3 linked regions of the Caenorhabditis elegans genome follow. The protein of the gene in region 1 interacts with the protein of each later gene in a pairwise test. Each region holds a gene or a part of one and is shown in the gene's direction. Other genes may lie near its edges. The genes, in order: cct-5, cwc-15 and ddr-2.

The links.
Region 2: the proteins of cct-5 (region 1) and cwc-15 interact in a two-hybrid assay, tested with the Caenorhabditis elegans proteins (one large-scale study listed by BioGRID).
Region 3: the proteins of cct-5 (region 1) and ddr-2 interact in a two-hybrid assay, tested with the Caenorhabditis elegans proteins (one large-scale study listed by BioGRID).

The regions. Positions count from the first base shown.
Region 1 is NC_003281.10:4,502,892-4,510,786, reverse strand, and holds the start of cct-5 (T-complex protein 1 subunit epsilon), read left to right. Parts: upstream 1-2,672; 5' UTR 2,673-2,702; coding exon 2,703-2,810; intron 2,811-2,917; coding exon 2,918-3,143; intron 3,144-7,895. Other genes in the region: F25F2.1 (Protein kinase domain-containing protein), read right to left, coding at 27-139, 193-298, 351-441, 489-596, 965-1,155, 1,555-1,809, 1,856-1,858.
Region 2 is NC_003283.11:16,019,699-16,026,259, forward strand, and holds cwc-15 (Spliceosome-associated protein CWC15 homolog), read left to right. Parts: upstream 1-3,652; 5' UTR 3,653-3,656; coding exon 3,657-3,827; intron 3,828-3,874; coding exon 3,875-4,396; 3' UTR 4,397-4,495; downstream 4,496-6,561. Other genes in the region: srx-43 (Serpentine receptor class X-43), read left to right, coding at 53-164; srx-44 (7TM GPCR serpentine receptor class x (Srx) domain-containing protein), read left to right, coding at 671-675, 959-1,052, 1,712-1,875, 1,934-2,080, 2,161-2,299, 2,440-2,610, 2,661-2,800, 2,846-2,954; T10C6.6 (Major facilitator superfamily (MFS) profile domain-containing protein), read left to right, coding at 4,639-4,694, 5,241-5,493, 5,551-5,903, 6,465-6,491. UniProt on the Caenorhabditis elegans protein: Component of a spliceosomal complex that is required for activating pre-mRNA splicing.
Region 3 is NC_003284.9:3,312,640-3,320,453, forward strand, and holds the start of ddr-2 (Discoidin domain-containing receptor tyrosine kinase B), read left to right. Parts: upstream 1-2,674; 5' UTR 2,675-2,707; coding exon 2,708-2,774; intron 2,775-2,814; exon of another isoform or gene 2,815-3,094; intron 3,095-4,416; exon of another isoform or gene 4,417-5,216; coding exon 5,217-5,322; intron 5,323-5,644; exon of another isoform or gene 5,645-5,964; intron 5,965-6,538; coding exon 6,539-6,636; intron 6,637-6,685; coding exon 6,686-6,819; intron 6,820-7,362; exon of another isoform or gene 7,363-7,642; intron 7,643-7,814. UniProt on the Caenorhabditis elegans protein: Tyrosine-protein kinase receptor which, together with ddr-1, is involved in axon guidance to establish the tracts for the ventral and dorsal nerve cords during nervous system development.

The DNA.
Region 1 (7,895 bases):
ATGTGAAAAGTATTCAGAAAGCTTACCTTCAAAGCCATAAAGATCTCCTGAGCAATATGAAATGCTGATTGAACACAGAAAGTGCCACCTCCCATCTGTTCTCGACACTTTTCTAAATTGACGTCAAAGATGGAAGTTACTGAAAATTAAATATTTTAGAACATTTAGTTAAAAATATTAATAAATCCCAACCATAAAATGGAACTCCTAGAATCTTTCCTTGATGTAGAATTGGTGGAACGCGTGGAGGTGGATCATTTCCTTGACCCCATAGTGTTTTCAGGACTGTTATCTCACGCTTAAATTAAAGAAATGTTCTATAACTGAAACCTATTGAGTTCAAAATTTACAGAAAGACGATAGACAATTTGATGGCTTGACAATTGCCTCAGAGCAGTTTTCATAATGAATCTTGAATTTCCAACCGAGACCACGTCGTTGCTGAAATTCAGAACTTAGAAATCAATTTCCAAACAAGAAAAACTTACTCGACAGCTGACTCATTTTGAACCATGTAAATTGCTCCAAAACGTCCCTCGTCGAACTTGGTCAAGATTTTGAGACGAGTTGTTGCCTTCTTATCATTATCGTCAAGTCTGAAAATTCATTGATATTTAGGCATATGGGTAGGCAGGCATGAACTGGTACGCAGGCAAGAATGAGCTAGGCAGGTTGGTAGGCATGAGGTAGGCCCTTCGGTGAGCAAACGTAAACACACAGGCAGCCATGGTGTATACACGAAGGTGGACCCGCAGGCCCGTTGGTAGGCATGAACTAGGCATTTAATAGATGCCTTCTAACCATAGAGTAGGCACACGGGTAGCCATAAAGTAGACGTCTAGGTAGGAATAAAGTAATTATGTAGGCATGGATGCCTTACGTAGGCATGCATAAGGTAGACACGCAGTTAGGCTTGATAAAGGCACAGGTAGGCACTTTGCGAGGCAACTCTTATTCCACTAACTTCTCAGCAATGACCACATGATCCGTCGATCTCAATTCAGCACGTGTCTTGAGGTAAGTGTTCAATGTTTTCACCGTCTCAATTGTGACTTTTGGATCGACATACATCTCTCGCCATTCGGCTTCCAGCACTTTCCGGGCAAAGTTCGGAGGATCTTCCGGTTTTCGGAACAGAGATCCCGCCATGCGATACTGAAAATGAGTACATAAATATCAAATTATAACCGAAAAAGTAGGCATAAAGGCGACCTACGCCTGCCTCATGGCTGCCACTTTCATCAAGCATTTGGAAGTAGGAAAGTATAATTCTGGGCATAGTTTGCTCTCTGCAACACCTTTTCCGAGTACGGTAGCTTCCCAGGTCCGCTAACACCATCAAGCATAACTTTACAGCATGCCTAAATAGGCATGTATTAGGCTCCATTTGCCGGCAAATTGCAGAAACACCGCAAAATGCCGTAGTTCTCGTGGTTTTTGCGTATTTTCGAAGGTACAGTAACCCTGAAACTGTATGATGCGCGATACTCCAATGCAACAGTCTGCCGAACGTGTAATAGTATCCAAAAAAGTTCAGAAATCCGGAATGTATACCTTCTTATCGATATTTGCAGCATCAACTGCTAATTTTGACTTGACTTTCTCGAGCTGTCTCTGACTTTCACCCGATTCTTCAGATTCTTCAGAAGTTGAAGAATCTCGTGCCTCTTTCTTCTTCTTTCTCTCCTTTTGCTTCTTTTTATCCTTCTTGTTCTTCTTTTCAAGACTATTCTTCTTCTGAGTCGATTTTTCTTTTTTCTTCTTATCCGCTTTCTTTTTCCGTTTATCGATTTTTTTAATTAAGCGATCCTGAACACCGGTATTCTCAGATATTCCTCAAGCCTTTTGATCTTACCATTCGTTTTTCTTATACTTCTCGAACGCTGGTTTTTGAAGCAAACACCAACTCGGACCACCGTAAAATTGAAACTGAATTTTATTTGTTTTTTTTTCAAAACCTTCCCCCCTTATCTCCACATTCAATCTATTTAGCACTCACGCTTTCAATACTTTCAATTAAAAAAGGCGAAAATTATTTGTTAAATAAATAAAATTTATTCTCGCTATAGTGTTTAAACTTTAATTTAAATTTAACTATTTAAATTTGACTATTTAAATAATTTCAGACCCAATTCTTTCCCTTCACTGTTCAATTTAAATCGAGAATAGTGGCGCCGAATTTCTCTGCGACTACGGTCAAAAATTGCGGACTTGCCGCGTACACCATGACGCGCAATTGCACATGTGACATTTTTCTAGAAGATTTTCAATTTTTTTCGTCAAAAAACGTTCATTTCACCTCAGTTTTTTTAAGTTGGCTGATGAAATTATATCCAGAAATTTAAAATTCAAACCTATTTCCAGTTTCTGTCCGCTCTGCACTCAGATTTAGCATTTTAGGTCGATTTTCAGTGTTCTTGGTATCATTGCATTTTAAAATTCTTCGAGAAGATCCCGAATAACCGAACAGCTGCCAATGTTGCTATTCCAATTTTCTTTCGTTCATTTTATTCATTCCTCGAGAATATTCTGCGGGTTTGATATCGAGAACATTGTTTCGAAATGCTGAATTTCGTTTCTTTTTCTTATTTTTGAAAATCAATTCTCTTTCAACAACTTATACTTAAATAATTTTCTCTTAATTAAAATTTTTAACATGCTAATATTTTCAGTGTCTGTCAAGACGGAACTTGGATAAGAAAATGGCGCAGTCATCTGCGCAACTACTGTTCGATGAGAGCGGGCAACCGTTCATCGTTATGCGTGAGCAGGAGAACCAGAAGCGTATCACCGGAGTTGAAGCTGTGAAAGTATGTAATAATTATTTTTTTAACCGGAACATTTAGTTTCTAAATGTTATGTTTTCATGTTTGACAAGTCCTGAAGTTTGTTCTTAAAATTAACTTCATTATTTCAGAGTCATATTCTTGCCGCTCGTGCTGTGGCCAACACTCTTCGCACATCTCTCGGTCCACGTGGACTCGACAAGATGCTCGTTTCTCCAGACGGCGATGTCACCATCACCAACGACGGAGCCACTATCATGGAGAAAATGGATGTGCAACATCACGTTGCCAAGCTTATGGTTGAGCTCTCCAAGTCTCAAGATCACGAAATTGGAGACGGAACCACTGGTGTCGTTGGTGCGTTTTTTTTTTTGGCAGAATTCAGCGCGCACCTCGTAAAATTAGATAGCTTAAACTTATTATGATTATCATGTGAGAGTTGAATATATTTTAGTTTAGAAAACCTTTCCTAATATCAAGTAAATTCCTAGCGAAATTCTTTCCTCTGGTGATTCTCTATGAACATTTTTCGATTCATGTCTAGAAAATGTCCACATTTCTCCCTTTTCTTCGTCGTAACTAAACCGTGTTTGCTTTCCGATTTTTCCTTTTTTGGTCGCTGTCCTTCATTTTCTTCTGCTGTGTAGTTTCGTCTGCAGCATAGTTTAAAATTATTTCGGTTTAACGTTTGAAATTCACCTCAACTACGTAAACCATAATCTTGATAAACTTCGGAATAGCTTTGATAGTTGTAACAAGATTTTCATTTTAAAAAAGCAAAGAGTTGATGTTATTGTCTGAGCTTGTGGATACAGCCGGCAAATCGAAATTTTGATTGCAGGATTTTTTGTAAACGTCACCAGCAGCTGCATTTTAAAATGCCATTGAGAAGCAAATTCGTGAGCATTTAGAGTAAAAGAACTGAAATGTTCATTGATTTTTTCATAAAATGACCGTATTTTTATGATGACTATGAGAAGCGCACCTATTTGTTGACGTCATAAACCCGGAATAAGTCTGAATTTCGAGACAATCAGTCTGAGTCACTCGGCAAAATTGGTTATCGATAATTTTTCGTGCTGGTTATAAAAACGAACTCTGTACACATGAAATTCGAAGTGAAACGTGTTTCATCTGCAATCTTTTCTTTATCAGTATCACACATTAAATCGAAATACTTTCTATCGAAAATGTATATTTTGTTGTCACCCTCTGGTCATTCATGATAATTAATTTAAAAAAAAAAGAACCCTTAGCCGTTCCTTTAAAAGTTTGAAATGTTTGATCTATGAGAAAGTGCGCCTGCTCGTTGTCGATCGTTCTAACTAAACAATCCATTTGCTCTCCTTTTTCGCTGTGCCCGACGCTCCGACAAAATAAAAAACGAAAAGATTGCTCATTTTTCTGATGGTGTGAGCACACAAAAGCCAACAGTTGAATGGGAGGTCTGTCGATTCTCCATGTTCTTTGATTCTTCATTGTTTCTATCTGCACCTTTCTATGACGAAGAAATACACGATAAGCTATCTTTCTTTCATTTTTTCAAGTGAATGTTGACCTCCAGACCTTGGAGTCTTAACAATTCTCCGTTTGCACCATTTTTCTTACGTAACCATATGTTTGCGAAAAACGTGGGCAAATATGGTATCGTATGAATTGCATCGTTAAAAATTCCAGTTCTTATCATATTGTGTTTCTTTTTTGATAACGATTGATGTCGACCCGTCGATTTAGAGCGTCTTTATGGATTTTTGATATATTTTTTGTGTGAAATTTTGTCACTTCAAAGTTTGAATTGCCATAAAAAATTTATTTCGCAAAATTATGCGTCGGTGGAGAATTTCTAGTGTTTCTTATTCCAAAAATTGTGAGCCCTCATGCTTGAGCCACTTATGTCTTTCATAATTTTGATGCAATGTCGCTGTCCGATGTCGTCCAGCATTTTTCCTTCCATTTTTTTCCCGTTTCCTTCGATAAATAATTGAGTGGTTGCTGTGGGCGCGCGCTCCTGCGCGCTAACACTCATTCTCTCACAGCGTCTCTTTTTTCCTCTCCATTTTCTATTCCCTTATTTTATGTCCCATAACAAGTGTTTCGTTTTCCGTTGAGTCGTAAGAGACAGAAGAGACGATAATTAGATTGGTGTGACCGACATGCAAGTGTGCACGCTTCATCGCTCTCTCCATCTGAGCAACATTTTCCAGAAGAGAAACCGAGTCATTTTTGATGTGAGATGCTTAAATGCAAGACTGGTCAAATTCTCTCTTCACTCTATATCTTTGAATTTATGATTTGATGGAAAGAGATTGGTTATTCATAAGATTGTCAAGCTCATGTTTTTCCAGTGCTTTTGGATTATTTAGGCTTCTTTTTCCGAAAAATCTTTCCATAACGTTAATTTTTTCTAAGAGGTTTCAAAATTTTTTGAGGTAGTCAAACTTTGTTGACAGTGTCTAGTTTCGCGTTAAATTCCATCGAAATCAAGATATGTCCAAATAAATTAGGTGTTTGATTCTTTAGAAAATCTAATTTCTAGGTTGATGTTTGTGATATCATGTAATTCTAAGTTGGGGAGCGATATATAGTTTCGCTGGAAAAAAATAACCAAGCAGATTAGAAAATTTTCAGAAAATAGTGAAAATCACGAGGTCATTTGTTTTTTTTTTCTTATTGTTCTTCTGGTTCTGATCGTTGTCGCCTCTCCCTCTTTCAATCCATCATGCGGCGCCGATTGACAATTCTCAATTGTGTTTGTCACAACAAAAATTCAATTGTCGATTTTCCTTTTTTGCCTCTCCCCAACCTGAGGATCAAACGGTTGCTGAAAAGGTCGTCAGGGGCGACTGGTTTTTTCCCACATGTTTTACTCGTGTCATCATCAGATTATGCCCTCACTTGGCCTCGTTTTTCCGCGTAGAATCGGCAGAAAATCGATCGAATTAATAGAATCACGATTTTTTCTCTTCATTTTGTGTTTATCTATTTCTTCAGTAATTTATGATTTTATAATTTGGTTTCGGAAGTTACGGAAACAAAAATTCCGTTTTTTCCTGTCTCCGGTAAAATTTTACTCTTTCCCCTCAAAATGGCCTTCCAGGCTCTAAAGTATCTAATTTCCTGTGCTTTGAAAGGTGGGAAATGAGTAAAGGTCACATGCTAAAATGAAGTGGAGGGTAGCAATTCATTATTTTATACATTTTCTCTTTCCATGATACATTCGCTCTGCCCTCTTAGGCCACTTTGATCAGTCCCTCCCTCACGTTTAAAGTCAGCTGAATATGCCGCTTTTTGCCTCCTTTTCCTGCTACTCTCCGTTACTCGCGTTTTTCCTAGCTTCTCACATCGATTCTGGTCTCCAACACGAGCTCCACGCCACTGAGCTATCTTTTTTTGTGCTATGTGTCTCTTTTTTCTTTCTTTTTTTTCTTGCTCGCTGCTTCTTCTCATCTTGCCGTTATTGCCACTCTTCCTCTCTTTCTCTCACTTTTCAGTTACCAACCGATTTCGTCAGACACTCTGATTCTCTAACTAATCTATTCGGTCAGCACACTGTCTAAAGTTTGCAATGCTCTCCGGTTAACAAACTTTTAAGAACTTTTGCTCTCTGCTCCAAAATGACAAATAATTAAAGTTCATTTATTTAAATTTACTATACTTTGTGTTTTATCCCCAAGCTTGGAGAATAAATTTCAAACTTAATTCACATGACTGACATTTTTGAAAGTTTAATCTCCGAATTAAGTATAGGCTTCATTACAAATTGAAAACTTTGTGATTTTCAAAGATTAAAAGTGTAGAAATATATCAATGTTTGCAGTAAATGCATATCTTCCACATTTGAGCTCGAAAATAATATTAATTTTGTTCTTCAGATAAAAATTTCTAGTATTTTTAGCCAGAAGAGTCATCAAAAAGTCATTGACCGAGCAGAGTGCTTGCTCGACGAAAGGCTCCTTTATTCATTTCAATTTTCTTCCTCCATCCACAATTGTCATCTGTAAAGCAAAATGACGTCGTCCATAAGAAAAATTATATTTTTTGCATATTTCCTATTTTACCTTGTGACACAGAATTCGTTTTTCAATGAATTTCAAAGGAGAAGCGCGTCGAACACAAATGTCTGTTACTTTTCTATCGAAAATGTCAATATTGAGTATTTTCTATGGTTTATGCTTCTTAGAAACGTTTTTTCTCGAAACGACTTGAGAAACTATTTTAGAGCACACGGTGTCAATGTTGCCAATAAGAAATATATCAGTGTTACTCATAAATATTTCCAAAAAGTCACAACCGTCTCCATCCTAGTTCTTTTTCATTTTCTGTCACTGACGACGTCGTCAACGATGATAGATGGAGAGAGAGAGAGGCGGAAAAGTGTGTCAACCGCTTTTTTGCTCTTTTTCTTTTAGATGCTAACACATACACAAATTGCTCACGGATCCTTCAAGTTTTTTTCCCGCATTTCCGCCCTTTTTGTGTGTCTGGGAGAGTTTCTCAACAGGGGGGTTTCACCTTGAATGCGTCGAATATTTATTGAAAGCCGAAATTATAATATTGCGAAATCAGTCTTATTTTCCTGGTTTCCTTCCTAAACGTGGTGATGAAGAGACAGACAAAATCCGATATTCTCGTTCTCCGTTGCGTCCCCATGGACGGATTTGTTTTTGATAGTGGAGTAACGAAAAAGAGGAGTTTTATGTCTATATTTTTCAGTTTTTGAGTAGTCTGCTCACAATAAATAACTAAAGAATAAAGTTCTCATTTTTATTCAAAAAAAGTATATTAATCATTTTCTCACTGAGGCAAGTGTTTATAATAAAAACTTGTAACATAAAAATCAATAAAAGCCAACGTTTTCTTGTCTTTCTTCGTTTGATTTTTTGAGATGATATCACTTTTTTGTTTCTCTCTTCCACCTGCTTTTCACGGCGTGTATCAATTCGTTGATAATCGACAATCTGCATCGTTAAGTGCCAAATTTGTTCCTATCACGTCATGATATCAAACATGCAAGACTATCTCTTAACATTAATTTTTTCGTTCAATTGTGAACTCTAACGTAATCGAATCAAGTATGAAAATCTTCGTAACTATTCATTTCCTTTCATT
Region 2 (6,561 bases), on another chromosome or scaffold:
AATCGAAAAAATGTGCCAAGTTTTCAGTTTGGTCCTCATAATTTATTTTCAGTGTAGTCGTCTTCGCCTTCAACAAAGAGTTTCGCAGATGGCTTTTCCGTAATTTCAACGTCCCGACAGCTCAGAAGAGAATCGTGACAGTGGTTTCCGCTCATAATACATAATCTTCCTGTTCTAATAACTCCAACTGAACCCCAAACTGTCGTATAGTACATTCTCTCGAACCCTTTTTCTGCACCTATAGGTGTTGAAAACATATGGATTATATCTAAATATTATTCGCTCACTAACGTCATTATAAATTGGACACTTCCCCCGTAATTTGCTCGTATTTCTTTCTGAAAGATCCTGTATAAATTTTTCAATTATTTTTTTTTGGCATTCCAACTAATTTATTCAATAAAACAAAAAACTTGTCTATACATAAGATCAAACCACTCTTCTCTCCGAGCTCAAACTTTTTGAACACCTACTAATTGTTAGCGACAGCTGTAATGTCGGGATTGCAGTCTCATAATTCAAAAAGGGCGGAGTCTGTAGCCAGAAGTCTATAATTATTTTGAGAAACTTCAAAAACACCTGCTTGACAGCACAAAAAAATCATGTTAAAAAATCAATTTTTGGGTAGTCAACGGAAGTATTTCAAGGCGAAGCGTCACGAAACTGGATTATGGTGTAAGTTGATCAAGTTTTAATAATTTTGTTTTTTAGTCTAATATTAATGAATATGAAAACTGAATACTCCAAAAACATTTGAAAATTAAAAAAAAATTCAATCAAAGTTTTGGTAATTTGCCAATTTTGAGAAAAGTTGGGCTTTTTGGAAATGTTAAAACAATATTGCATGTTTGAAGTTTGGAAGTTCCTTCATAGATTTTGATGTTCTTCAGATGGCAATATTTCCAGCAGTGTCTTTTTTCCTTTGAAAATGTGAACCTTTAGCTTTTAAATGTTTCAGAACAACATTTCGAAACGACTCATATTTCACTGAAGCCGACGAAGATTATGTGTTTGGGCCAGATGACACTAAAGCCGGAATGATTATTAGTTTGGTGAGCAACTTTTTTTGGCATTTTCTAAAGAACAATCTTTTTAGGAAGTATATTGAAAGTAGTTATTATCAGTACAATGAATAAAGAGATAAGAGCTTATGCTACTAATGTGTAGCATTCGTAGTTTGTAGTCAGTGGCGTCACGTACCTTTCGAGGAATTTCAAAATCTCACTTTTATAGATTCAATTCTGGGCAGAAATTTTTTGAAGTTCGGTAAAAAATGTCTAAGTTTTTCCAAAGCCTGGGACGATATTTTGCAAGAAGTAACAGAAGGTAGTCAAAGTTCTAAAGGGATTATCCAAAATTTAACAGAAAATTGCCAATACTTGAAATAAAACATTTTAAAGTTTGACAGAAATGTCCAAACTTTGGTTGAAAATTTCCAAAGTTTTATCGGAAATTGTTAAAGTTTGACTGAGAAAATAGTCAAAGTCTGGACAAAAGTTTCTTAAGTTTGCCAACAAATAGACAAAGTTCTATAGAACATTTCCAAAATTTGGCAAACATTTTTCAAGGTTTGGCAACAATTTTAAACGTTTGGCAGAACATTGTCAAAGTTCTGCAGATACGTATCTTCCAAAGATTTTCAGAAAATTTCCAAACTTCGACTAAAAATTCTCAAATTTTGGCAGAAAGTTAACAAATTTCTAATTTTCAGGTCGGCTTCATCGGAGTCTCTGTTCAATCTGTCGTTGTCACCGGCGCATATAATATCAAGAACATGAAGGGTACCGTATTTGGAGCCCTAATTTTAAATGAAACATTTTCCCAGTTTGCGGCAACTTCCATCACATTTTTCTTCTTTTTCGTAGGAATTTTTTTGTTAGTTTATACTTTTTTTGCGCACTAAATAATCTCCAACCGTATTGAAACATTCTAGAAACACAATATTAATTGTCAGTAATTCTGCAATTTTCGGAAATATATCCCTGACAATTTTGCCAATTATGCTGGGCACCCACTTTCTGATGGCTTTCAACAGGTTTTGTGCTTCAAGTATGCCATTTGGATACAGAAAAATCTTTAGGTATGTTTATAGGATGCCTACCTGCCTGCTTGGTAGGCTCACGGTAGGCGTAGGTCGCCTGAGGAGATTACGTTTTTCAGCAAAAATTACGTACTCACTTACATCATCATAAATTGGACACTTCCCCCCGTAATTTATTCGTATTTTTTCTTCTTTTATAATTGTTCCTTCCCGTTTTTCCAATTTGGGTGGGTTTTCATGGAAGCTCAGCGGAATGAGGTGAGATTTCGGGGTCTTGCCACGAGCGAAACTTTTCGGCTACAGTACTTGGTGCAAATGGTCTCGACACGGCAAAAAATTGGTTACGGTAGCTGAAGCGTGACAGGACCCCGAGCGTGATTTTGATTGAGCATTTCCAGACATGTGGAGCAAAACTTCTACTGTTAAGCCTATCTGTTCAGTTCGTGATTATCTTTATTATCACAATTCTGGATATTTCCACGTTTATCATTCTTATCACTTGTCGAAAATCGATATTTAAAGGGCAAAGTAAAGAGAATAAACAACGCGATATCAATTTTGCGATGCAGGTGCGCTGTAAACGAGCTCTTGCAAAATAAATTCAAATTCCTTGTTTTAGGTGATAATTCAGGGAATTGTTATGGTGTTTTTTGGTGTTTGGTATGTTTCCGGTTATTCGTTTTTGCCTGGCAACAGGCTGGATTGGAAAATTTTTATGACAACTACGGTCTCGTCTTCTTTAACTAATTGCCTAGCACCGTTAGTGCTATATTTCACGAGCAATATCAATTTTTCAGTTTTCAGAATAGTAATATGTTTTTTCAATGCAGAATATCGCCGATGGATTATTCGTTTGATTCGCCGAGAAGGAGCATCACAGAATTTGACAGTTGTGTTGAGTAGGACTTCATAAATAATCAATTTTTATTAAAAATTTGTTAGATAAACGTTTTTTATTTGTTTCTCTTTTGAAAATTCCCTGAAAGTGTGTTTAAAATTCGATTTCCACCCGAAACCAAATTGGCGAAAACTCATATTCAAAACTCGCGCCGAAATGTGGTGGTGGCCGCGTGGCCGCGGACTAAGTGACGCCGCTAGGCCATTTGGCGAAAATCAATTTATAAATTTTTCCCGATGTTTTTAAAGTTTCTCGTCGTTTTCTATCATTTTCTACTTGTTTTTTCGTTAATTGAAAAGTGAAACATCGTTTATGCAAACTTTTTACTGAAGAATCTGTGTCAAAATTGTTAATTTTGAGGCTAAAAGCACTGAAGATCGGGACAAAGGTTTAATTTCGAATTCCGATAGATTTAAATAAGAATAATGTTTTTTTCTACTTTTTTAATGGTTTTTCATGTAAATTACTAAACTTGCACATGTTTGTATGAAAAATTGCAATAGAAAAACGATTATTTTACGTTCAAATTGAAAAATTGTATACTTCCGAGCAATTTCTTGTTCCGATCCGGAAAAAAAGTTTAAATTTCAAATTCAAACAAGTTAAACAAACATAAATTTTATTTTCGTTCCATATTTATTACTTTTCGCACAAAGTATCTTATATTTCCTCTGTTCTCTCGAAATAACGTTCACAAATTGTAATTTTTTCAGCAAAATGACCACGGCCCATCGTCCAACTTTTCACCCAGCTCGCGGAGGAACCGCTCGTGGTGAAGGAGATCTGTCGAAGCTCTCGAATCAATACTCGTCGAAGGATATGCCATCTCACACCAAAATGAAGTACAGACAGACCGGACAGGAGACTGAAGCCGATTTGAGAAAGAAGGTAAACGAAAAATCAATGATTTTCAAGCAATATAAAATAATTTTCAGGATCTCCGTCGTGAATTGGAAGACAAGGAGCGAAACGCAATCCGTGAGAAGCGTGCTCGTGACTCTGCTTCTTCGTCTTCAAGCCATTCGAAACGCCAACGAATGGATCAAATTGCTGCCGAGTCAGCGGCGTCTGTGGATGCAGATGAAGCAGTGGACGAGCTGAATTCGTCAGACGACGATGACTCCGATGAGGATGACACTGCAGCGTTGATGGCGGAGCTGGAGAAGATCAAGAAAGAACGAGCAGAAGAGAAGGCGGCGAGAGACGAGGAAATTAAGGAGAAGGAGGAGAAGCAAAGAATGGAGAATATTCTAGCCGGAAATCCACTGCTCAACGATACTCCAGCCGGATCCTCCACTTCTGGAGGCGATTTCACTGTGAAACGACGATGGGATGATGACGTGGTCTTCAAGAATTGTGCAAAAGGAGTCGAGGAGAGAAAGAAGGAGGTCACATTCATCAACGATGCTATCAGATCGGAATTCCACAAGAAATTCATGGACAAATACATTAAATAATTGATTTTTGTCTAATGATTCATCCATTTTTCACTGTTTTCCATCAATTTTCACTCAATTATATGCCACTGGCTCGACAAAACAATAAACGTGATATTTTGTAGTGTGTACCCTTTCAGAGCTCGTAGGCCGTATCGACTTTTCAAGTACTTTTGTCCTTTTTCCTTATCAATAGTAGTTATCAACCTTATCAATATATACGGAGCAGTCTCAATTTTAATATTAATCAAGTTTTTTTCAAAATGGTACAGACGATGTCGTCACGGAAGGTGATGGTGTTCGTGGTGACGTTTGTCAGGTAAGATTTTCACATTTCTAAAGTAATTTTCAAGTAAACCGGATGATTTTCGTATCAAAAATACAATTTTTCCACAAAAATATTTGCATTTTAACATGAAAAACTTCGAAAAAATCCTAGAAAGTCAATAAAAATAAAATCGTAACCACTTAAAGGCACAGGGGCTTATTCGGATGGGTCTCGCCACGAGAAGAACGTTTATGGTACCATTTTTTCGTTTTCCAGCGCCGGTTGTCTCCTTAATTCGTTTTCATCAATTTTAACAGGTTTCAAGCAATGTAATTGATTTTTTTATTTAATTGCTGAGAAAAGCAAATATTTCATAGATAAATAAGAAAAACGACCGCCGCAAAATTGAAAAAAACGAGATTAAATACTGTTGTCATTTTCCTGGCGAGACCCAGCCGAATAAATCCATTCGCCTTCAAAGAAAAAACAACTTTTTTCGTAAAACACCAACCATTCTTGTTTTACACGCTCAATACGTAATTATGCACAGTTAAAATACTCAAATTCTCAAAATTTCCTTAATTTTTAATATTTCAGTTACGGCCTGTACCACGCGAGTCGCAAAGCATTATCCGGAGTGAAATCGTCGATAAAAGCGGATTGGCTGAGCAACTCGTCCGGCCACGCGCCACTATTCACCAATGAAGCCGACGCCAAGCACTTTTTGGGATCACTCGACGCGATTTTCATGGCGGCCTACGCGGCGGCTCTCTTCTTTTGGGGTTGGCTCGGCGATCGGCTGAATCCGAAGCTTGTCGTCGCAGCTGGAATGGTTGGCTCTGCGGTTACGGTGAGTACAAACTGCTAGGCTTCTAAATTCCTAATTCGTTTAAAATTCAATTTTCAGCTCACTCTCTTCGGCGCCATCCCAAAATGGTTCAATTTCTACCATGCGCCCTACTATATCATGACCTACGTGGCGTTTGGGCTTGTTCAGGCCTGCGGATGGCCCAGTGAAATCGCGATTATGGCCAACTGGTTCGGAAAAGGAAATCGCGGATTTGTGATGGGTGTCTGGGCCGCGTGTCAGCCCGTCGGCAACATTTTCGGATCGATTTTCACGGCGATGGTGCTTCCACTAGGTTATCAGTACACTTTTGTGTTCAATTCGGTGCTCATTGCTCTCGGAGCAATTGTAGTCGTCATGGCTATTGATTCATCGCCTAATGAAGAGCATGAGGATGGCGTAGAGGCAAATAGGTAAGAGTTGAGAAGAAATAGGTCTTGCCACGATTTCGTACTGTCGTAAACACCCTAATATTTTGTGTAGACCTCCAAGTGTCGATTTACGCAGCTCGTGTAGTCCTCGAGGAGAAACATGCAAATTTTTACCACAGAAAATAACACAATTTTTGGCAAAAAATGCTTGAATTTTAACATTTTCGCTTTTTCTTCTTGAAAAATATAATTATTTCTGCTAAAAACTACATAATATGTAATTTTAAAGTTTTTTAATCAGTAAATACACAGCTTTTCACCTGAAAATCTCCAAAAAGTTGATAATTTGACTGTTACACCGCTTCTTATTCAACGGCAATGATCCAAAATCGAGCGTTTTTGCCGCCGAAGACTTCTACTTTAAAAAAATGCAAGCTCGTCCTCGGGGAATACACGATCTGCGTAAATCGACGCAACTATCTTTTCACTTCCAAAGCTTGCAATTTGAAAAAAAAAACAATACGAAATCGTGCCAAGTCCACAAAAATCTAACAGAAACACACGATTTTTTTTTCAAAAAACCAAAATTTTTCCTTTTCCTAGGATTCGCCTTCTCCGACGATCTAGCAGGTGGGAAAATTCGCGAACGTTCGTTGTTCTGTTTCTTTTGTTTTGTGCGTGTGTGGATTTTTTACGTTTC
Region 3 (7,814 bases), on another chromosome or scaffold:
AAAGCCTTTGAAGATTTAAAGTTCAAGGAATTCTGTCGGCGCTTTTTTTTTGGTTGCCTGTTCCGGTAGCCATGATCTCGTTCCGTTTTTCACATTACACTACCTCACACGCACATTTATTTCTCGCCTTTTCACCTTTTTCACCTTCTCACCTACATTACGTCTTTCTGTTTCACCACTTTTTGTGCGAATTCTCAAATAGTCTCATAAAAGTGCGAAATCATTACCATGGTCATGCTCATTGCGTTCTTCGTTCGAGACGCGCATTCAACGTGGCCACTCTTTGTCTCTAATTACACACAGCCTTCCTGGAAGGTCGTTTTTAAATGAACGTACTTCTAGCGTGATATGTTATTCGGTTAGTGTCTGTTCAGTTTCGTATGTTCGCAATTTCAATGGTCTTTAACGGTCGATTTGTCAGAATTTCCGGCGGGTGGTACGAGTCAACAGTGGTGATTGACTGCTACTGCAAGGAATTGAACAGAGAGTCGAACGAAAACTTTGATCAATTTTTTTTGTCTGCCCTGTTTGTGAAATCAGAAAATCATTAAATCTAACAATGACTCATGTAAAATGAGCATTTTCACAAAAAAAGTGCACTATTAGAAAACTGATATAACTTTTTTTTAAAGTTTAGATAGATTGGAGAAACTGTATATTTTTTAGTTTTGTTAGTTAGGAAATGTTTTCTCACAATTTTCATTATTGATTTAGTTGTAAAAAAAATTTAAAATGCCGGAAAAGTGTCACCGGAGAAAAATACTGAAAAAAGTCATAGTAAGAAGTTTCTTAAAAAATTGTTATTTTGTTTGAAAAAAGTGATAATTGTTTAGTTTTGGTCATTTTTTATGAACGCCGTGAATCAAAAAAAATGTTGTTTTTCGAATTTTTAAGTGTACTTACATTATAATGAATTTAATTTTTTTGTTGAAACTTCAGTACTGTATTTTTTTAAAGAGGCAAAACTCAATAATTGCCACTTTTTGACTGTCATTAAAAATGTTTAAAAATTGCTTTGAAAAGTTTTATTATGGAATTTGGTAATTTTGGCACTATCTTCGGATAAAATATTTGATTTTAGAATTTAGAAATTCTAGACCTCTTTTTCAAATTTACGATTCCTATTTAAAAATGACTTCCTAAGAATCTTGTTCCCACTAGGGATCTTATATTTTCGTTTTTCGTTTTTTAAATGCTATACTTCTCAGAGGTACTAATTCCCACTGAACCTGCCTCAGGCAGTTAATTTTTCGTCGTCCTCCTCCAATTTTTTAATACCCATTTCTTCTGATCGTAGAACATCTGTCTTGGATGCTTGGGCAGGGATGTTCTCATTGAAAAGCGATAAAACTTTCAAGACACTGTTCAATTTACAGAACATTCGCTACTTCCTCTTCAACACCTGTCTTTTCGCTTCTGATGAGGTACCACCACCGCCGATCCACACAGACCGCCACCCCTCCCGCCAAGACTCCGCCCCTCTATTCTTCATTGCTATGCTTGCGCGAAGGCTGCCCTCTTCCCCCCCCCACCACTTTCTGGCCACCCACTTTTCCTTGGTGCAAAAACCATAGCTTTGTACAGTTTGAGTGAGTTCAATGCTTCTGAATCGTCTTCTTTCGAACTTTTTTCTCCAGCTTCTTGATGGGTTAATGTGCAATGCAATGAAGCACATGTACATAGTACTCTCTTTCTTCCACACATATGGTTTACGTTTCCTATGTGTCCCTCTCCTTGATGCAATCTCTTAGCAGCCTTCACTCTATACATGATTTTTAATATATATCTTTCTTACAAAACTTGTTTCTTTTCTTCTCCCAATTTTTTTCCATTTTCTTTGCTCTGAGTCACGGTGTTACTAGAGAAGTCATCTGCCAAAAACTCATATTGCGGTTGGTCCTCACACCTATTCTCTACCTATTCATCGTAGAAGCCCAATTGGTTTTCTCATTACTTCACACCCTCATCTACCGCGAGTACAACGTTCGCTTTTTCATTTCTCCATTTTTTAGAGTACCGAAAGTGTCATTGGTGGTATAAATTGCTCTTTTGAATTTCTGGGAATAGTCAGGAGCAACAGCTCCCATCAACCACCACGGTACGATCCATTAAATTAACATATAGTGCAGCTTGAAATTGAAATTGAGTGAAGTGGTAATTGATGAGAGGGTGTGTGCAAATTGAAAAAGGAGGCACAACACGCCAGAAAAAGAGCAAGACCACCAACTACATTTTTCTAGCTTCCTCTCGCATTTTTTTTTTCACGCGCATCTTGACAAGCTTATCTGTTCTTGGTCTTCAACTATTGACCCCATCTATCCGTTTTCCATGTTTCATTTCTTCCAATTTTTTTTTGTTGCTCTTCTCCTTTTCCAACTTTCACACCCACCAACCTCGTTGCTTTCGGCTTTTGCAACTTACTAGTTAATTCCAACTTTTTTCTTCTTCTCACTCCATATATTCTAATATAAATATGAAAGCCGCCGAGATGAGTATAATAACGCGCTCTTCCTGAATAGCTTCCCGCAAAAGAGCGGATATTTGAGCATCTGCCCCCAGGCCCTCTTCACACTTCTCTATTTCATTTTGGGCCTGTCAAATTGAATTTCGTACGTTGTTGTTCCTTCTAGACTTTGACCACTTTTTTCAATTTCCTCATATGCTTTTTTGGCTTTTTTCAGAGTCTCCGACGCTCATCTATGTCAGGATGAAGTTGCTGCTGTATCTATTCGGTGTCACATTTCATAGCAACACAGTAGTCGCATTGGAATTAAGTAAGTGTACGGTCAATTGACTTTCCTTCTTCTAAATATGGCAATATTGCAAAAAAGTGTCCGTTTTGGGAAAGTGGCCAAGAAAAGAGGAGGGGACGATTGTTAGAAATGCATCATATTTTTGTCACCAGTTGCACTCTAAACTCCTAAACTAGTACACTTTTTTCTCTTCTCCTCCTCGCCCATTAGCTCTCATCACGTTTTGGTGGCTTACACGCCGGAATTTATGGGAGGCAAAAGGAAACGACATGATGATGAAAAGGGTATGCAGTTAAGAAGGTGAAACCGACAAACGGAAAAAAACGTTTTGGGGACAACCTAACTTTTTTTTGAGATACCATCAGTTTGCGCGAAATTGTGAATAGTCAGCGGCAGGAGATGATATCAAAAGGCATAAAAGGAGTGGGTTAGTTTTGAATCGGACACTTGCAGTGACATAAAGATGGTCACAAGTGGATAGTGATGAATTATAGGCCGGGTTGTTTCTATGACAATATGATCAAAATCTCGAGATAAAAATAATGCATAAAAATAATGCTATTTCAAATATCAACCAGATCTCGACCCCTCGCAATAGTCAAAAAGTCACTAAACCTCTTCAGAAAATTGATGACACCGATTAGGGGCAGGTGCATGTGTAATTGCCGTAATCGCAATCGATCCGTATTCTTGAGCATTGAGCGTAAAATCTGAATAGCTTTGCATTGCGCAATGTGACAAAGAAGTGTTTGTGTGTGTGGGTGTTGGGTGACAGGAGGTAGAATATAGTATTCAATTTATTGCCTTTCATTTTCGATGCTCACAACTCACATGCGTATAAATCACAACACAGTGTTGCTGCTCCGAGGGCTACTTTCACTAGATTTTTGATATTTTGAGAGGGGTGTATGATGACGATGATTCGATTTGTTAGTAGACTAGTGGGAAAAAATGTCGTTGAAAAACGAAAACCAATTTCTTGTGGTCCCGAAAACTCATCATTTGGGTCTTTCCTATGACAGCTGCTTGTCGTTCAATTGCTAAATAACACATCATAACATTGTTCTTTTAGTCGTCCTTATCATTTCTCTCGTTTTTGAAAACAAGATGCACAGAAATCTGCCAGCTTCTCCACAATGTTTTGTAAGATTTTGGGGGATAATATATAATCAAAAGCGGATGGGGGTGACAGTTTTGTCGGGCCGGTTCCCCTCGCTTCCGGAGATGCGCAACTGTTGCAATGCACAAAGATGCCGACGAGAGGTTCCTGCTCACAAAGTGCCACAATGATCGATTGCTTACAGTTTATACCAAACACTCTTTGACAACTTGCTGGCGAGTATCTGGTCGAGCCTATCAAATAAAAAAGAGCCGAAAATGTCGCTGTAAAAAAAACTTAATTGTATGTATTGCGTGGCCAACTTGATTGGCCAGGTTGACATTTTGCACACCTACCTGACTCATTCAACTAAAAGCTTTTGCTTTTTGTTTCGATTTCTTAGGTTTTTTATTAGGTGTGTGTTTTCTTCCAATACCCAAAAAAGAAGAAGACAGTTGCATTATCGTAATCCGTTTTGTTATCGTTTGCATGATTAACGAGATTGCGCAACTTGACATGGCGGCGCACATCACAGAGATTAGTAGCCATGCGCAATTTCTATGGAAACTGACCTGGAGAACGTGCGAAAGGTCACAACACTGGTCCATTAGAGCACTACTCGGAGAAGAGGATATCAACAACATTTGTCATCGTATTTCTCACCTTTCAACCTCACAAATAACAAAACAATTGTTTATCTTACACTACCAGAATGATAAAACGTCTCGAGAGTGTTGCTAGTTACTGGTTGTAAATCATCGCTTGTGGTGTCCTACAACATAAACCTGGTGCGCGAGAAGGTCGTGTGCACAATCTCCATTTTTATTGCTAATTTATGTCTTGACGCACAGACGTCAGGTACTCAATTCTTGCAAATCCATAATGTGACCATAAAAATTGTGCTGCTGTTTGGGTTGTAAAAGACAGGTATAATTATCCGGAATTATCCGCTGGCAACAAAGATAATCGTAAAATATTATTCTGCGGAGGTCTTCGCCTTTTTGGAAATAGATTTAGATTTTCAATTCGACGTGAAACATGCGAAAATTGTGGTTGTACGCGGCAACTCATATGATTAGAAAGCATTGGTTTGATTTGGTGAGCTCAAAAAATTCAATTGAGGATGCCAGCAGACCCGGGTCCTATTTGCTCTTTTTAGGCACATCTCTCGGTAGCCTTGTTGACCGCATATCAGATTAGGCATTGTCGGAAAAAGGATGAGAATACATAATGTCAACAAACGGGGCTACATGACAAAGCATACAATGATAAGTACACTAAACCAAAAAATAAAGGCGGCTGAAATATGATAGGGTGCTCTTAAACTCTTTCAACTCTTTTCCAATTAATAAATTATGTTTCAGGAGAATGCAGTCACCAATTGGGAATGTCAAATCGAAAGATTCGTGATGAGCAAATCTCGGCGTCTTCGAGTTTCGACTTGCAAAGCACTGGACCTCAACATGCTCGGTAAGTGGTTTGGGAACTACTCATTTGAAATTCGTACTACGTTTGAATCCCTTGAAACTTTAATGCAAATTTCCACGGACTTGATAGAAACATAGAAAATTTGAATTACTTTCTCTCTGCCAATCCTTTTAGCATTTTCTCACGAGTTATTTGAATTGTGGGGACCGTTCAAATTTGAAATACACTACACAAAAAATTAGTTGGCATCTTGCTTAATTATAGCGAGCTGACTGTCAACAGGAAGAGAGCTATTGTGTTAGCCTAATAATTAGTCTCTTCCCTAATTACGGTATCCGCTTTCACATCGTTTTGTATAGTGTTGTGACCCCACCCAGGAGAATTCACGCGTTCCCAAAGGCGGCTTTACAAGATGGTTAGAGGGGGGATTACTGCTCTTTGCAAGTTCACGCGTTCGCCAAACTCATTGAAATTGAAATTGAGAGCGCATTGGCATGGCACATCTAATTTGGACAAGCTTCTGACGGGGGAACGTGATGCTTCATCAGTAGCATACGTTAACGCCTCAACAAGCGATTTATCTAGTTTGATTGTTTTGACAGGCCGCATGCGGTGCTGGGGGCTTTCCATTGCTTCACTTCCTAATTGCAATGTGTTGCATTGCGTAGATAAAATCTTGATTAGGAGCTCATCTGGAGAATGAGAGGAGAAGGAAGATGGAATGGAAATTGAGAGCCACACAACGAGAAATTGCAATATACAATAGTATAAATATAAAATAACATACTTTTTATCACTTAAAGGTGAACTACGGTCAGTAGAGAAATATTCCTAATCTTCTAAAATATCCAAATAACTTATTTTTTGTGTAGAATATTTTTATTTTCAGTCAAAAAGCGGTAAAAAACGGTTATTTTAAAAACCTCTAATTGTGAATACTGTCGCATGCATAAACCCCTACTGTCTTGAGATAGGAATTTTCCAAATAAAATTAAACATAAAACTGAATGGAACATATTTTTTTCTTGATTTACGATGTCCAAAAAATGGGTGAAAACTGAGTTTTCACCGCTTTTTGACTTGAAATGAAATTTCCAATATTTTTTGAAAAGTTTTATTACAAGATTGGAAGCACCATAGGAATGTTTTTTGTCTACCTACAAGTCTCAAATTTAATACATTTAAACATTTATCGTTATGTATTGTTTTCACATGGGAATGAATTTTATATTTTAATATTCCAATTCAATTTTTTCAGAGCTCATCAAGAATCTGGAAGTGGTGCCTGGTGTCCGAAGAATCAAATAAACTCTCTCAGCAAAGAATGGTTGCAGATTTCGTTTTCCGTGGATACAGGTTTCGAGCAGAATCTAGAAAATTCTAACAAAAAGCCCAATTTTTTCAGTAATAACTTCTGTGGAGACCCAGGGACGATTTGACGACGGACGTGGAATGGAGTATGCGACCGCATTCAAAATTCAGTACTGGCGACCTTCGCTAAACGCATGGGCATCTTATAAAGACGATTTTGAGCTAGAGGTTCGTCCTTTTCATTCAGAATGACCGCTAATTATGGTATCGGCACTCTTTGGAAAGCGCACCGTTATATTTATGCGCTTAACGCCATTAGCCCCAAATATCTGAGATATGTGAATCACAAAAAGAACCTTGCGAAGAGAACAATAGAAATCTAGCTATGACTTTTGACACACCATTTTGACACACCATTCATACTGTCACTATACGAGCAACGGTGGGGGGAAGAAAGACGGGACACGATTTGAATAGAATACAATACAAAAACGCGTTATTCGAGATTTATTACAAGGTCTTCTGCCCCACAATTCGTTGTGTCCGTTTTCGGAGATATCATGAGATTCTATTGAGATTCAAATTTTTATCCATGTACATCCTGTGCTTGGTTATTTTTTTGATGGGAAAAGTGTCGTTGTTCCGTTCTTTTTTTAGTTTGTGTTTTTTTTCTGTTCTTAGAATGAAAAGAAAAAAAACGGAAAAGACTGATCGACAATTGACACGCTATACATGTTCAATTACATTGTGCATTTTTCCTGCAAAAGTGGCTCACTCGACTACCATACCACATTAGAAACCACTAGTGGCTTTTTAGTAAATTAGCTGAAATTTTGTTCAAATACATAGAGGAAACACTTGACACTGGGGCATTGTACGAAGACACGAATTAAGTATTGTCGTAAAATGCGGTACAGTGAATTGAAGAGGGGGGCACTGAGTGACAATGCATCTGCCAGCCACTTGTCGAGACGTGTGTATGATCGGCTCAAGATCATATCGACACATATGTCGCCAGCCATGCTATTCTGCATAACAGGAATTTGAACATGAACATCGGGCACCACAAAACGCATAAAAAACCGTCGGTGATGAGTCTATATCTAAGAAAAGGCTTTCCGAACCGGTCAGTTAATAGAATAGCCTTTAGTTAGGGGTCAATCCAAAAATGGGTAGGCGGCGTGGCTTTCAAGTAACTGCCAGTTAATCCTCTTATGCTCCGG